Linked DNA regions of Caenorhabditis elegans. The protein of the gene in region 1 interacts with the protein of each later gene in a pairwise test. Each region holds a gene or a part of one and is shown on either strand. Other genes may lie near its edges.

The links.
Region 2: the proteins of efl-2 (region 1) and nhr-23 interact in a two-hybrid assay, tested with the Caenorhabditis elegans proteins (one large-scale study listed by BioGRID).

The regions. Positions count from the first base shown.
Region 1 is NC_003280.10:13,403,372-13,412,499, forward strand, and holds efl-2 (Transcription factor efl-2), read left to right. Parts: upstream 1-2,768; 5' UTR 2,769-2,788; coding exon 2,789-3,081; intron 3,082-4,641; coding exon 4,642-4,791; intron 4,792-5,651; coding exon 5,652-5,745; intron 5,746-5,938; coding exon 5,939-6,221; coding exon of another isoform or gene 6,222-6,256; exon of another isoform or gene 6,257-6,313; intron 6,314-7,652; coding exon 7,653-7,909; 3' UTR 7,910-8,524; downstream 8,525-9,128. Other genes in the region: pinn-4 (Peptidyl-prolyl cis-trans isomerase), read left to right, coding at 1,072-1,182.
Region 2 is NC_003279.8:7,214,162-7,222,562, forward strand, and holds nhr-23 (Nuclear hormone receptor family member nhr-23), read left to right. Parts: upstream 1-2,622; 5' UTR 2,623-2,800; coding exon 2,801-2,868; intron 2,869-4,624; coding exon 4,625-5,016; intron 5,017-5,156; coding exon 5,157-5,248; intron 5,249-5,294; coding exon 5,295-5,368; intron 5,369-5,414; coding exon 5,415-5,535; intron 5,536-5,601; coding exon of another isoform or gene 5,602-5,607; coding exon 5,608-5,699; intron 5,700-5,743; coding exon 5,744-6,299; intron 6,300-6,345; coding exon 6,346-6,627; intron 6,628-6,701; coding exon 6,702-6,791; 3' UTR 6,792-7,067; downstream 7,068-8,401. Other genes in the region: Metal transporter cnnm-4, read left to right, coding at 8,212-8,243, 8,292-8,401. UniProt on the Caenorhabditis elegans protein: Orphan nuclear receptor. Transcription factor. Modulates expression of target genes, such as Period protein homolog lin-42 and microRNA let-7, by binding to hormone response elements (HRE).

The DNA.
Region 1 (9,128 bases):
CAATGAAAAAAAAACGAAAAAAAACATTTGAAAAATGAAAAAAAAAATTTTCCAAATTTTTGGATGTTTTAAGAATACTTTTCGGAAATTTTCTTTTTTTTTCTCAATTAAACAAAAAAAGAAAGACGTGTCGAAAAAAAAAACGAAAAAAACAAAAGAATAAGGATAAAAATGAAAAAAAAACGGAAAAAAACATTTAAAAAATGAAAAAAAGAGAAAATTAAATTTTAAAAAAAGGAAAAAACATTTCAAAAATTGCAATAAATGAAAAAAAAAACAAAAAAATAAGGAAAAAAACGAAAAAGAGATAGAAAGAGAAAAAAAAATGAAAAAAAAAACGGAAAAAAACATTTGAAAAATGAAAAAAAAAATTTCCAAATTTTTGGATGTTTTAGGAATACTTTTCGGAAATTTTCTTTTTTTTCTCAATATAAACAAAAAAAGAAAGACGTGTCGAAAAAAAAACGAAAAAAAAGAGAAAATGAAAAAAAAAGAAAAATATGAACTTCTCTTTTTTGATTTGTTTTTCCTTTTTTAAATGTTTTTTTTCTCATTTTTTCTCAATTTTTTTAAAAAAATTTTATTCAGACAAAAAAAACGTGTCGATTTACGCAGCTTGTGTGTACTCCTCGAGGAGAAACGTGATTTCTTCCAGTTTTGACTGAAATTTCTGATTATTTGGAGTATTTATCATTAAAATTGTCGATGATTTATTTGATTTTTATAGTGTTTTAAAAATTGAAAATCTTAAATTTTCTCGTTTTCGGCATAAATTAGAAAAAAAAATGGACAATTTGAATGAGAAATACAAAAAAAAGTGTAAATCTTGAAATCACTTGTCCTCGTGGACTACACGAGCTGCGTAAATCGACAAAAATTAAGTTTTTCTTTTGAAAAAAATCGATAATCCGAAAATTATCTCAAAACTTCCAAAAAATTGAAAAAAAAAATATTTTTAATAAAAATACACCAATTTTTCACATTTTTTCACCGGAAAAATGCTTAAAATTGCAGATTTCTAGGCAATTTTTAGAATTTTTTCCACAAAAATTTCCAAAAAAAAATTTTCAGGACGCCGCATTTGCCCTGTCGAACAGCTCATGCGACAAGCCAATCTACACGGACCCCCCAGTCAAGACAAAGTTCGGTTATCATGTGATTATGGTCGAGGGAAAGAAATAATCATTCCAAAAAAAAAAATGTTGATTTCGCTTTTTTTTGTCTTTTTTGTTGCAAAATTTTTTTTTTTTTTTTTTGATAAATATTTTCTCATTTTTTCCCAATTTTTCCTCATTTTTTGCCCATTTATGCGTTAATTTTCAACGCTTTTTATATCTTTTTCCAGTTTAATTTTACTTTTATTTTAAATTAAAAAAGTTCTAGAAAAAGGGCGGAGCAAAACCTAAGCCACGCCCATAAAATGGTCATTTTTAACGGAAATTTTTTTCCTAAATGTTTAAAGCTAAAAAAATTAATTTTAATATTTTTTGGGAAATATTCATTGTTTTTTCTCTTAAAATTACATGAAAATTCAGTTAAAATTTGAAAGAAAAATATTTTCGAAATGCCAAGAAAGGGGCGGAGCCAACCAGACCACGCCCACACAAAGGGGGCGTGGTCAAAAATGCATTTGAATACTTTTTAAGTGTTTTTTTTAACTGTTAACAACAACACAAAAAATTAGTTTTCATTATACATTTTTAACTAATGCCAAGAAATGGGCGGAGCTAGTCAAGACACGCCCACTGAAAGGGGCGTGGTCGAAATTGAGAACATTTTAAAAATTGAATTTAAAAAACTTTTTGTTTTGTAAAAAAACACCACCGGAAATAATGGAACAGTTTTAACTTTTTCGAAATGCCAAAAAATGGGCGGAGCTAAAAGACAAAGCCCACAGAAAAGGGGCGTGGTCAGGTCAAAAATTGAAAATTTTTCGAAATTAAAAAAATCATTTTTCTTTAAAAAAAAAAACACCACCAAAAATATGATTTACATTGAGAATTTTCAAAATTTTCGAAAAGCCAAGAAAGGGCGGAGCCAACCAGAACGCGCCCACACAAAGGGGGCGTGGTTAAAATTAAGAAAAAAAAAGTTCAAAAAATTAAATTAAAAAAAAAAACTTTTTTGTGAAAAACTCTACCGGAAATATGATTTAAATAGAAAATTTTAACATTTTCGAAATATCATAAAATGGGCGGAGCTAACGATACCACGCCCACAGAAAAGGGGCGTGGCCAAAACTAAGAATCGGAGAAAAACATTATTTTCTTGAAAAAGTCACTGAAAATATGAGTTAAATTGAGCATTTTCAAAATTTTAGAAATGCCAAGAAATAGGCGGAGCCAACCAGACCACGCCCATAAAATGGGCGTGGCTTATTGCACACTGTACTCAGAAAGTTATAGTTTTTCGCATGAAAACCGCTCTGAACATGGATTTCAATTGAAAATTTGTGATTTTCTCGAGCTCAACCGTTTTGTGGGCAAAAAATGGTTTAAAAAATGAAAAAAGAAAGAAAAAATAGAAGAAAAAGGAAAGAAATGAAAAAAATGAAAAAAAAATGAGAAAAAAAAGAAAAAAAAATGAAAAAAAAAATGAAAAAAAAATGAAAAAAAAAGAAAAAAAAAAGAAGAAAAAAAGAAAAAAAAAAGAAAAAAAAAGAGAAAAAAATGAAAAAAAAAAATGAAAAAAAAATGAAAAAAAAAAGAAAAAGAAAATATGCTCTCTTTTTTTCTCTTTTTTTTTCCTTTTTTAAATCAATTTTCTGCAGATCTCTGTTATGCAAAGTATGGATCCCTCGTCAATAGACTTGGGCTCAATACCCGGTGGCTCGGAGCAACAACAACACGAGGACGGAGCAGCAGCAGCAGCTGGAAGTCCCAAAGAAGTATTTCGAAGTCAGCAATCACTTGGGCTCATTACACAACGATTCATGAGCCTACGGCAAAGGAATGAGGTGCTCAATTTGAATGAAGTGGCCAAAGAGTTGAATATCTCGAAACGACGCGTCTATGACGTCATCAATGTGCTCGAGGGGCTCGGTTATGTGGAGAAGGTGGAGAAGAATAATATTCGATGGATGTTAGTGCGATTTTTCCCGGTTTTTCCGAGTGAAATTTGTTCAATTTCTTAAATTTTTTTCATTCGAGGAAGAATGAAAAAAAATTTTAAGTAAAAAATGCCTGAAATGAAAAATGAAAAAAAAAAGAGAAAAAAACGATGAAACATTTTTTTTTTCCTTTTTTTTTCATTTTTTTTTCTTTTTTTTTCTTTTTTTTCCTTTTTTCCTTTTTTTCATTTTTTTTTTCATTTTTTTTCCTTTTTTTTTCTTTTTTTCATTTTTTTTCATTTTTTTTTTCCTTTTTTTCTTTTTTTCATTTTTTCTTCTTTTTTTCTAGTATTTTTTTTTCATTTTTAGTAATCGAGTTCAGAGCTGGCTGGGGTTTGTATCATTTATTGATATTAAATGAAAGGATAGAGCCATCAGATAGGTGATGGCTTATATACAATATGAAGTAGGCGGAGAATCAATAAGATAAGTAAAAATGACGGGGGATAGGAATGCAATCATAATTGAATGGTGCAAAAGATAACAAAACAACATTAATAATGTGAGGATTGCGAGTGAGTCACGGGGCAAAGAGTACGATCGCGTACATTTAGACAAAATTGGAATTTCATGAAAAAAAACCGTTTTCAACCAAAAAATTGCAGATTTGTCTATATTTTCAAGTGGAAGTTGAAAATGAAAGCAATTTTCCAAATTTTCTCTGGAAATTTGATTTTTCAGGCAGTTTTTAATGAAATTTCAATCATTTTGAGCAAAAATTCAGAAGTCTTCAATTTTTGACCGAAAAACTGCTACTTTTCTGATTTTTCTCGACATTTTGACTGAAAATCACTGTTTCAGCTAATTTTGACTGGGTTTTCCGAATTTTTTAGGTGGAAATTGAAAATTAAAGCAAAGTTCCAATTTTCCACTAAAATTCGATGATATTGAAAGAAAATATGCGCAAATCTGCAATTTTTGGCTCAAAAACTGATATTTTTCCGATTTTTCCCGAAATTTTGGCTAAAAATCACAATTTCAGCCAATTTTTTCCTGATTTTCTGATTTTCCAGAGGAATTTCTCAAAAAAAAAACTGTTATCCAGTCAAAATTTCGAGAAAAACGGAAAAATTGCATAATTGTCTATATTTTCCGTAAAAATGATTGAAGTTTTAATAAAAAGTGTTTCCCGGTAAAAGTTGGAAAATTGCTTTAATTTTCAACTTCCACTTGAAAATATAGACAAATCTGCAATTTTTTGGTTGAAAACGGGTTTTTTTTTCATGAAATTCCAATTTTGTCTAAAAATGAAAAAAAAAATACTAGAAAAAAAGAAAAAAAGGAAAAAAAAATGAAAAAAAGAAAAAAAAGAAGAAAAATGAAAAAAAGAAAAAAAAGAAGAAAAATGAAAAAAAGAAAAAAAGGAAAAAAAAAATGAAAAAAAAAAAGAAAAAAAAAGGAAAAAAAATGTTTCATCGTTTTTTTCTCTTTTTTTCATTTTTCATTTCAGGCATTTTTTACTTAATTTTTTTTTCATTCTTTCTCGAATGAAAAAAAATGTTTTTTTTTTCGATTTTCCCTATTTTTTCCAGTGGAGACAACAACAATTCCGAAGAGCAAAACGCGCTCGAGGCCCGAGTCGAGATGCTCCGCCAACAGGAAAAGCTGCTCGAACTGATGATACGAGATGCTCAAGCGATTATTGAGCTCCATTTTGAGGATCCAATTGAGCGGCCCTATAAGTTTGTTTTTTTCTAAAATTTTTGAGTAAAATTGAAAAAGAAATGAAAAAAAGAGAAAAATGAAGAAAAAAAGATGAACAAAAAGAGAAAAAAAAAGAATGAAAAAAGAGGAAAAAAAGGAAAAAAAAATTTTTTTAAAGTTTTTTTCATTTTTTACATTAATAATGAAAAAAAGTGAAAAAAGGAAAAATGAAAAAAGAGAAAAAAAAAAGGAAAAAAAGAATGAAAAAAAGAGGAAAAAAAGTTGTTTTCCTTTTTTCATTCTTTTTTCATTTTTTACACTAATAATGAAAAAAAAAAATGCAAAAAGGAAAAATGAAAAAAGAGAAAAAAAAGAATGAAAAAAAGAGGAAAAAAAGTTTTTTTTTTCTTTTTTCATTCTTTTTTCATTTTTTACATTAATAATGAAAAAAAGTGAAAAAAAGAAAAAAATGAATGAAAAAAGAGGAAAAAAGAAAGAGAAAAAAGGAAACAAAGAATGAAAAAAAGAGGAAAAAAAGTTTTTTTTCTTTTTTCATTCTTTTTTCATTTTTTACATTAATAATGAAAAAAGTGAAAAAAGGAAAAAAATTGTAAAAAAAAGAGAAAAAAGGAAAAAAAGAATGAAAAAAAAAGTGTTTTCTTTCTTTTTTTCATTCTTTTTCATTTTTTACATTAATATTGAAAAAAAGTGAAAAAAAAATGTTTCAACTGAGAAAGTAAGAAAAAAGAGAATTCCAATTTTTGGACAAAATAAGGAAAAAATGAAAGAAAAACTGAAAAAAATAATTTTAAAAAATGGAAAAAAATGAAATATTTAACAAATAAAATGAGAAAAATTGTTTATCATTTTTTTAAATAAAAAAAAGAACTATTTTCAGTTATGTGAGCAAAGAAGACATTCGAAAAACCGCCGAGCCGAACACAAAATCGATTATCGTAAAATCAGAACTGGATACGAGCAGCTCCTTTGAGGTTCGATTTTTTGGCGATTTTTAAATTTTATTTCGAAAAAAATTTAAGAACATAAATTTTCAGCTAATTTTTAGCTAAAATCTCAAAAAAAAACCACAACTTTTTGAAAATTTGCAACCCAAAAATCCACAAGAAAAATCAATAATAGGCTCCGCCGCCCATATATTGGCTTAAAATCGGGCCATTTTTCCAGATCCAAGTAACAGACCCGAGCACCAGTGGCTCACACGATATGATAGTTCGGAATAAGAATGGAGTCAAATCTCACGCGTTGCTCTTCACAAATGATCCGCCAGAGTACGGCGATGAGGAGGACGAGGACGATGTGAAAAAATTATCATCACAAAAAAGATTTGAGACATCTGAAGCATTACGTGTAACCCTAGCTGAAATGCTAACAGATCCCACAACAATCTCATCATCACCAAAACACATCAAATTAGAAGAACCGGAGGAAATTGATACCGAGGATTTGGGTGCGAGGAATTCACAGAATTCGGAAAAAATCTGAAAAAAATCGCAGGAAAATGACTTAAAAATTCCAATTGTCCGAGAGGAGTACAATTTATTTCGAAAAAATTTTAAAAAAAATCAAATTTCGATTATCGGAGAGGAGTACAATTTATTTCGAAAAAAAATTGAAAAAAAAATAATAAAATTTCGATTGTCCGAGAGGAGTACAATTTATTTCGAAAACATTTTAAAAAATCAAATTTCGATTTTCCGAGAGGAGTACAATTTTTTTCGAAAAAAATTTAAAAAAATCTAATTTCGATCGTCCGAGAGGAGTACAATTTATTTCGAAAAAAATTTAAAAAAATCAAATTTCGATTTTCCGAGAGGAGTACAATTATTTTGGAAAAAAATTGAAAAAAAAATTTGATAGTCCGAGAGGAGTACAATTTATTTCGAAAAAATTTTAAAAAAATCAAATTTCGATCGTCCGATGGCAATTTTCCGGCAAACATTTCCAATTTCCAAATTTTTCCAGAAACTTTTGCCCCCCCGGAATTTTCCGAAAATAAGTGGTCACAAAAAATAGGGGGCGGGCTTGCCATTTTGTGGGCGTGGCTTGCTCTTATGCCCCGCCCACAAAATGGGAACTTTTTTTCGGCAAAATTTTTCAAATTCTTTCCAGAAACAGTCGCCCGAAGTTTTTTTTTTTTTTAATTTGAAAAAAATATGATTTCCGAGAAGGCACAGAAAAATGGGCGGAGCGTAGGAGGCTACGCCCACAAAAGAGGCGGAGCGTTAACATTTCGCCGAGAAAGTGTCCATTTTGTGGGCGTGGTTTGAGATTGAAAATTTTGCATTTTCCGAAAAAAAAACTTCTTGAGACAGAGTTTGCCGCAAAGGCACGGAAAAGTGGGCGGACTTACCAATTTGTAGGCGTGGTCTGTGAAGCTCCTCCCATTTAATGCCCCGCCCACAAAATGGCAACTTTTTTTCGGAAAAAATTTCCAAATCGCCCGGAATTTTCAAAAAAAAAAAAAGATCACAAAAAATGGGGCGGGCTTACCATTTTGTGGGCGTGGCTAGTTATTCCCCGCCCACAAAATGATCATTTTTTCGGCAAAAAATTCCAACTTTCCAAATTCTTTCCAGAAATCATCGGCCGGAATTTCCCAAAAAAAAAAAAGGTGCCTACACGTGGTGTCACGTTGTCCCATCACGGTTTGATCTACAAAAAATGCGGGAATTTTTTCCCCAAAAAATGTGACGTCAGCATGCGAAATCAGTTGAGAGCTCTGCACCTTTTCTCCCGCGTTTTTTGTAGATCACAACGAAACGGGACAACCTGACACCACGTGGGCTTACCATTTTGTGGGCGTGGTTAGCTATGCCCCGCCCACAAAATGGTCTTTTTTTTTTCGGCAAAAAATTCCAAATTTCCAAATTCTTTCCAGAAACCTTTGTGCTCCCTCCATCCACATCAGCTTCACAATCAAATGCTCCATATCTACCAGAAACTCCAGGCCGTGGGCTCTTTTTCAGTCCATTCAAGTCACTTATCGATCCGTGTATTCTGCCGAGTTTCTCCGATGATCTGACAAGTGGTTATATTAATATTACGACACCGTCGAGAGCCACTGGAGCCGGAGCCGGAGCCAGCGGCCAGGAAGACGAGGAGCCCGTCAGTGTTATGGACTTTTTCTCTGATTAATTTTTGAATTTATTTTAAATTGTGTTATTTTTAAAAAGGTTTTCTTTTTGTTAAAAATTGAGAATTTTGGTGGAATCGCGCTGCAAACGCGCTCCACGGCAATCATTTTTCGTTTTTTTTTGTGCCATGTGGTGCCAGCCAGGCTGTCCCATAACGGTTTGATCTACAAAAAATGCGGGAATTTTTTGCACAAAAAGTAAAAAAGTATGACGTCAGCACGTTCTTAACCATGCGAAATCAGTTGAGAACTCTCTTGTATCTCTTCTCCCGCATTTTTTGTAGATCAACGTAGATCAAGCTGAAATGAGACCTCAATAAAAACACGAGGAATTCAAATTTTTGGCCGTGGAGCGCGCTTGCATCACGATTTCAACCCCCCCCCCCCCCCCTGATGACGTCACAGTGTACCTTTTTTTTGAATCTCGGTTGAATTATCTCTTCCATTATTATTACATCTCCCCCGCCCAGAATATCTCAGGTTTTTTGTTTTAAAATATTATTTTTGAAAATTTTCTAATTTCTTTTAATTCTCTATACCTTTTTCGGCTCATAAATTCCCCTTTTTTTTCTCGAAAGTTTGATTTAAACATATACATATGTACGAATTTTATTGATTTTTTTTTTCGATTTTTTTCTCCAATTTTATGGTTTACTACCACAGCCAATTTTCTATCTTTCTTAAATTACATTTTCAGGAAAATCGAATTTAGATTAAAAAAAATATATATTGCAAAAACCCACAAACACAAACAGAAAAGTTCGAATTTTGCAAATTTTGTTTGTCCGAGAGGAGTACACGAAATTTTCAAATTTTTGATAAGCTAATTTTCAAACCAAAATTTCTTAAAATTCGGATCGTCCGAAAGGAGTACAATTTTTTTTTGAAAAAGACGAAAACAAAATTTTGAAAATTCAGGTTGTCCGAGAGGACTACACAAAATTTTGAAAATTCAGGTTGTCCGAGAGGAGTACAATTCATTTCGAAAAAATTTTAAAAAAAATCTACTTTCGATTTTCCGAGAGGAGTACAATTCATTTCGAAAAAATTCGAATTCCGAATTTTGAAAATTCAATTTTCGATTTTCCGAGTGGACTACAATTTGTTTCGAGAAAATTGAAAAAAAAAACCTGATTTCGATCGTCCGAAAGGAGTACAATTCATTTCGAAAAAATTTTAAAAAAATCTAATTTCGATTTTCCGAGAGGAGTACAATTCATT
Region 2 (8,401 bases), on another chromosome or scaffold:
TATGTTTATTGGATGATGAGAGCAAGCTCTAGATAGTTTTGGTTTGTAAAGATGAAATTAATTGATCTCTTAACCAGTTTATTCAATTCAATGCACAACATCCGAAATGGTATTTATGTTTTGCATATTGCATTTTCTTTTTAAGATTTGCACCGCCTTGCTCTATTTTGACAGTTTTTATCTCGGTTGATTTTAGTTTTATCTAAAAATTTTCAACTGGCATAATACGTACAAAGTTTTTTTAAATATGTTTTGATTGTTGAAGATTTTTGATAAAATTTATTACAACAGAAGTATAAGCCGTCAAAGTATAGCAATGATGTGCAAGTAAGGAGCACTGGAAAATACGGTAAGTTATACAAAATCTTTATATGTAGTAGAGTTGAATAGCTTTACTTTACAGAAGCTTTCATCAACTATATTAGAAGAAAACTTTCTAATCACTACCGCTACCGTAATCTTCCCGGTTGCAAAACGAGTAAGGCGTTGTCGGCTTTCTCGACGGGGTGAAAACAGGGGAAGCGTCTTGACTGATTAGTGATCGGTCGGGTTTTTGGTATTTTCGAGTCATCCCGACAGAGTTATTCCATCGTTCGCCACCACATCTTCTTCATCTCCAAAACTTCTTCACCGTTTTTGTGCGGCGACGATGCGATCTGGGAGGGCGCCGCCGTGATCGAGAGAACGGAGAGATAGAGGGGATGGGTGGGGACGAGAGTGTTGTGATGCGCAGACACACCGGATCGACGCATCCCTACCGGCGACGGCTACTGACCGGCCGGGTCACTTGCGTTCGGACGACGACATGCGAGGTAGGTCATCTCACGTCTTCTTCATCTTCTTCTTCTCTCGAAGATGTTGGTGGAAGGAGAGAGAAAGAGATGCAAAAAAACGGGGAAGGGCATGGCCCGGCGACCGGACCCGCTAACCCGGTCACCCCGTTTTCGGCCATGGCTAACCCAAAAAAGATTCATTTTTGCCGATAGGACAACAATTAATTCAGTAGTTCGTTTCAAGATCCATGATCCAGGTTCTAGGTTCCAGATTCCAATTGAAAGGTTTCAAAATGTGTTTGTGTTGTCTAACCAATGTTTACCATCTATGTTATGCACGTTCCACTGTTATCAAGTCTATCAAATTGATCAAAAATGCCTATATTTCACGGTCACTCTGCCATTGCCCCATAGTTGGACGAGATAGAGACCACCACCTTCCTCTACCGTAATACTCTTCAAAATGCCCTTTTGAAAAGATGAATTGTGAAGGAGGGAACAGCCCAAAATTGAAGAAAGAATCGACATTTCAACACTTTGAAATGATGTCGTAGTTCGTTTTTGGCTTCTTTGTGTGGATTTTGATTATGTTTCAGTTTTACAGTATCTTATACGCTTATAATTGTTTTTTTTTGGACTTTAAATTATTTTTACCATCACCGTATTTTTCTTTTCTTTAGCGCAACTTAAACTTATTTGCTTTTCCTTTCTGGTATTATACTGAGTTATTTATTATGTGATTCCTATTTATACTGTAGTTTTATTTATAAACAATTCCCGGTTCCTCCTTTGACACTTGAAACTTCTAGTTTAAAAAGTCTCACAGTACTGAAATCCATTACTCTACTTTGTCAATTTATATCTGGACTAATTTTACAAATATCAAAACACAGTCAACTACGAAGCAATTTGTGAATTGATAACTTTTCGATGAAACAAAATGAGATATAAGCTAAAAAGGATATGAACAATGTGGCTCAATTATAGTACGGTATCTATTTTGCACCCAGTACCAAATAAATAGTCGTACCCAGTAAATGGAGCACAAAAACCATGCTTCAGATTTTCGTGCGCCCTTTTTCATTTATGAGAAGATTCGTTTTCCCATTTTCTGTCGGATTAATACTGATTTGAAAATTTCAATTTTATTACTGTGTCTATTTTGCAAAAGTTACACTTTTCAGTTATGGTATATTTTGATATTTGAATTGTACTATTATTTTGTTATAACTCAACATCTTGAAACTGTGCAGGATATTAAAAATACTTATCGAATGGTTTTTTTCTTATTTGTGGTCGTGTTCTGTTCTTTTCCGAAACCACATTCCCTCTTTTGTAGATTAAGATCAGTATCTCAAAAAGATCTCTGATTTTCTCTCCCTCTTTCTCGCTTTACTTCTAGATATTTACTTTCACTATTTATTTTATACATCTAAATTTATTATGTAAGGAGCACTAAAAATAATTTTCTCCCCCTTACTAAATTTTTCCTTATTGGTCATAACTTCAACTCAATACGGACAGTCTTTATGGCCCGCACGAGTCAGTACCAGTGCGGCAGTTATAATAAGTATTAATGGTATCTCATCTCCTCATCGAGTTATTATTCCCAATTAAGTTCGTCTCACATCTTGACCTTGAATTCAGTTTTCTTTATTCCCCTTTTTAAGTTTACACTTACTATTAAATTGCAAAAATCTTAAAGCACAGCTTTTTGGTTTTTTTTACTTGAAATTACATTCTAATTATCTCACACAATGTACTTTATCAGTGACTAATGAGAGTGGGGGTAAGGGACACCTTTTCCCGTCCAGCCGCGTGTCACCGAAAACCGGTATTCTCTACCATTAGGTGGTCACTGTCGGTACCAGGTGCATGTTCTCGCTTCGATGGTCTTCAATGCAACATTTCAATGGTCATTTCGAGAGTTTAGCCAAACAACATCAAAACCATTTTCACTCATTTCGAAAATCTTGAAAAAAGGTTTTTAAGAAGATCAGGGGTCAAGGCACATCAGAGCGCATGGCATGGCCTGTAAGGTCACTGGCCCAAATCGGCACCTCACTTCAGTTCTCGAAATGTCATCGTTCGTGTAGTGAGTTGTTTTTCTGTTTACGTGGCACCTCGGCGGGTGTCCTGAAATCTTTTGATCTAACTCTAGACATTTGAAGCAATCCGTAATGTTCTAGCATACTGTAGGGATGTTTCAATTCAAAATGGAAGTTTCGAAGACTATCTAAGATGGCTGAAAGTTTCTGAAATTTTGCACATATTTTTAACCAGATTTCGGGTGTTCTTCACCGTTTTTGCCATCAAATTCACTTTTCCCAGTTTTCCGCGGCGGTACCATCACGTACTTGCTGTGTATACGTCTCCGTCTCTCTTTTGTCGTTTCGCATGATCAGCGGAAAGTACAATTTACGAAATTGCAACCTCCCGTCGTCGTCGTCGCTGCCGCTGCCGCCACCACCATCATCGCAAACCACGTCGTCTATATCCTGCCTCACACAGCGCGACGACGTCGACGACGCGGGGTCCTGTCACCTCCTGGCGGGAGGCATACCGTACCGTTCGCGCGCAACACACCGTGCACAGGTACCGAGGTCACTTCTCGAGATGAAGAAATAGCGCGGAGACGTACACACAATTGTCTTCTTCATCTTCTTATTCCTACGTCTTCTTCATTTCCTACCTTGTTTCTCAGTATTCCCATATCCTCCATCGTCACCGTCTCTTCATTCTTTCAAAACACTGTAATTGTTATGAGAGGAGCGGTGAGATGGGGATAAAGTTGAGAATAGGCAGGAAATGAAGGATGAGCGGTATGATGAGGAAATATGAAATATGTTGCGAATATATAAGACCTGATAATTGTGGTCCTAGGAAACGAGGTTGAAAATCGAGCCGATATAATAAAAGAGTTGGGGACGACGAGATTTTTATCTGAATCAGAAATGAGTGATGCTATTCGAAGTGAGATTGATATAGATTTTATATTCTTGCCGTATACATTTTCTGATTAAAATTTATGCACAAAAACATAAAGAACTCCCGAAGCATATTTCTCTTGGCGGGTTTTCGTCAAATTTTTCATTTAAAAATACCAAAAAGCTGAGCCATTTTTTTTGCGTTTTAGGCGAGACATTAAAATTTCCAGTTTCACCAAATTTCTTTTGAAGAATTCCATTTGCAAAACAATGCAAAAACAAAATTTTTTTGTTTTTTTTCAAATATTTGAACTTCTGCGTTTTTAATATTTATAAATATTAAAAACGCAGAAGGTACGGTGTGCTAAGAGTGTTTGCGGACTTTAGTTCATTTTATGTCGCCTACCGTAGTCCGCCTCGCTGATATTCGTTTTTTTTTAAATTCATTTTTGACATAAATATTTTGTTTTCAACCATTTTTCTCAAATTTAAATTTAGAATTCGAAAAAAATCTTACTATTCTAATCTAAAATATGCAATGATTCAATTTTTAAGGCTAATTCCCCCCCCAAAAGCAAATAACAATGAAAAAAAATGTTCAGCAGGAATTTAAATATTTATTTTGCGTGAATTTTTTTCCTAACTATAAGCTAGTTATTATGTTTAGATTATATCTTATTGATAAAACCTAAATAATAATAATAAGTCACGTTAAGATCCACGGCTGGTTTTTGTTTCGAAATTTCAATTAATTTCAATTTATATCCTCCAGTAACTAATAGGTGAGTTTCTTAAGCTCTGCGATTGCATGGCATTTCGTAAAAAAAAAACGTTTCGCAAACTGTTTCTAGACGTTCAATCTTTCCGCGTATCCTATCATTACTCGCTTAAATTGTAGTCCGCCTTTCTTGATTTTATCTTCAGCTGGCCTCGATCGCGACAACAAGCTCACAATTTTCCGATGCAAGCTGTAGAGCAGAAGTTGGCTGATGCAACACGAACTCTTCATGCAAAGTCATCTCTTCAACCATCACTCTCAATTGAAACTCCAAAAAGCAAGGAAAATGATGAATCTGGATGCGAGAGTTCAAATTGCATGTTTCATCCGCATACGATCAAATCGGAACCAAATTTTTGTTTTGCTCGGGAGTTTAAGTCAGTTCCCGATGATTTTCGTATAGGCGGCGGAGATCTTCAAATGGGAAACAATTCCAAAAGATTGACATGTGTTATTGATACAAATCGAGTCGATATGGCCGGAATTCTTCCTGATAATATGAGCTTCCGGGGACTTCCCGAAAACAAATCTCTTCTGGGTATGCACGTATTTTTTGTTCATTGTCCTACTAACCTTTAAAACCCTTGAAATTTGGAATTTGGAACCGAACTCTGAAAAAAAACACTCCAAAATTGTGATAAACTGAACTTTTTAAAGATTCTAAATTTACTTTTTCAGTATCAGCGCAGATAGAAGTAATACCATGTAAAGTGTGCGGTGACAAGTCGTCTGGCGTTCACTATGGAGTTATCACATGTGAAGGCTGCAAGGTATGCCTTTTTACCAGAATTACTTTATTTCTTATACATTTTTCAGGGCTTTTTCCGACGCAGTCAATCATCCATCGTCAATTATCAGTGTCCGAGACAGAAGAATTGTGTTGTTGATAGGTATCTCAGTTAGGAATGTTACAGAAATTTAATATCGTATTTTCAGAGTGAATCGAAATCGATGCCAATACTGCCGTCTCAAAAAGTGTATTGAGTTAGGAATGTCACGGGATGCAGTTAAATTTGGACGAATGTCAAAAAAGCAACGAGAAAAAGTAGAAGATGAGGTATTTACATTCCCAATTCTAAACTTCGTATTCATGTCATCGTTTTTGTCTGTTCAATCCTTAAAGGTTCAGGTTCGAATGCATAAAGAATTAGCTGCAAATGGTCTTGGATACCAAGCAATTTACGGCGACTATTCCCCTCCACCATCCCATCCCAGTTATTGGTAATTATCACCTACATTTTTCTGTCATGCAACGTCATTTTCAGCTTTGATCAAAGTATGTACGGTCATTATCCATCTGGAACTTCAACACCTGTTAACGGATATTCTATAGCTGTTGCTGCGACTCCTACGACTCCAATGCCACAGAACATGTACGGAGCAACACCATCATCTACAAATGGCACACAATATGTTGCACATCAAGCCACTGGAGGAAGCTTCCCATCGCCACAAGTTCCAGAAGAAGACGTTGCCACTCGCGTTATCAGAGCTTTCAATCAGCAGCACAGTTCCTATACAACACAACATGGAGTTTGTAACGTGGATCCTGATTGTATTCCTCATTTGAGTCGAGCTGGTGGTTGGGAGCTCTTCGCTAGGGAGCTCAATCCGCTTATTCAAGCAATTATTGAGTTTGCCAAAAGTATTGATGGATTTATGAATCTTCCGCAAGAAACACAGATTCAATTGCTGAAGGGAAGCGTTTTTGAGTTATCACTCGTTTTTGCTGCTATGTATTACAATGTAGACGCGCAGGCAGTGTGCGGTGAAAGGTATTCTGTTCCATTTGCATGCTTGATTGCCGAAGATGATGCCGAGGTATTTATTTTCATAGAGTAATATCGGCTCATACTCAATGTTTCAGATGCAATTGATCGTTGAAGTTAATAACACTCTTCAAGAAATTGTTCATTTACAACCGCATCAATCCGAATTAGCTCTTCTTGCCGCTGGACTTATTCTGGAGCAAGTGTCTTCTTCTCATGGAATTGGGATTCTTGACACTGCGACGATTGCCACTGCAGAAACACTGAAGAACGCGTTGTACCAAAGTGTCATGCCAAGAATTGGATGCATGGAAGACACGATTCACCGAATTCAAGATGTTGAGACAAGAATCAGACAAACAGCTCGTTTGCATCAAGAGGTATTATTTGCTGAAGCTTGGATATAAATAATCTGGAATGCTTAATTTTGAGGTTATTATTTTTCTATTTACAGGCTCTTCAAAACTTCCGAATGTCTGATCCAACATCATCTGAAAAGCTTCCTGCCCTCTACAAAGAGCTATTCACTGCAGATCGGCCTTGACTGAATCCATATATCATCAATAGTTTTATCCATGCTCTCCTTCCCTATCCCCGTCCATGAATCTCGTTTCCTCCGGTTATTTGTACAATAAGAGTAGACCAAAGCGCCGTTTGAACCCAACGACACCATTTTCTTTCCTTCTGTGATTTCCTTTCCCGACATTCCCCCCAAAACCCCAGTCGTTTCCATGTTTTATCAGAAAATTAATAGAAAAATAATTGTAGTCGTCTGTTGCAGGAGAGTTCCTCATTCTTTCTCTCCTTTTCCTGTTTTTAAAGTGATTTACTCGGATCTTCTTTACTTACTTGTTCTAATTTATTAATGACTTTTGTCACCCCCCCCCCCCCCCTCGTGTACCATGTACAATCATGTTGCGTTCCATGTTTTCTTGCATTTCATGTTCAGTAAAATTTCTGAAACCATACCAATCTCTCTCTTGTCTTATCATTTCTCTTCAGGTATTGATGCCTCTCCCCATCCCATCCCATACTCTTTTCGTGATCAACACGGGTACAAAACCACAAATTTCCATTTATCTGGATTTCTAGGCGCACTAATTTTTATTTTATTAAATATCTCCCCATTTATTGCCTTTTAAAACTCGTATCATTCCAGTGTCTGCGCTTTAATTACGCCTTCTTACCCATTTGATCCAACCATTTTCTCGTTTATGGTGTAGTGGTCGCTTGAGTGTTTCCATTGTTTCATGTAACATCCTAAATATGTTTCATTGTCATCAATGCATTCAGCTCCATACACCGACTTTTTAATTTATTTCACTTTCCTCTCGGTTCTACCTGCCCCACAACATCTTTCTCTGTTAAATATAATCTCTTTTTTTTTGGTTTTCTCAGTGATAAAACGTCTCAATTTTATATTTTTATTTTTCTGGTTATTCTCCGTAGAATTGTTCCTAATTAATATTTACTTTTTATTCCGATTATTTTCCAAAAATAGATACAACGCGTGAGTTTTAAGACGTGAGTTCTAATTAAATTTCCAACACTACTTTATGTTTCCACGAGGCTCTCGTTATCATAAATTTGTCCACTTTAGAATAGAATATACTCATATATTTATATCATTTTTTAATTTTTTACGAAGTACTTCATCAATGATTTTCGTAAGTTGAAATTGAATTTAAGCTTTAGATTATTTCTGGATCTATCAATTATATTTAGTCAAACATAATAGTGTCAGTTTCAGGAATTCAAAGTTTTTTTTTTTCTCCCACATTTCCAAATGTGGTTTTTTTTTAAATTTATAATATTTAGCTTAATATTTCGACCATTTTATTATACTATAACGGTACCTATCCCCAAATAAATCAAATAAAATATTTCAGATTTATGTGTTTTCTTATTTGGCATGGATTAATTTACCGATAGAGACAAAGGCAAATAAATGTGGAAATGATTCTATGGAATTGTATGCAGCGGGAAGATATGACAGGTTTCTTCTATTCAAAACCTTTTTAGCATAAATTTATTCATTTTTCAGCGAGCCTTTCAAAATGAACGAACATGATATTATCCAGCTCTACGGGGAAGATGTCCAATATGTCAAAAATGCGTTTCTATCTAGCGACTCTACATGCAACAACAATGTAT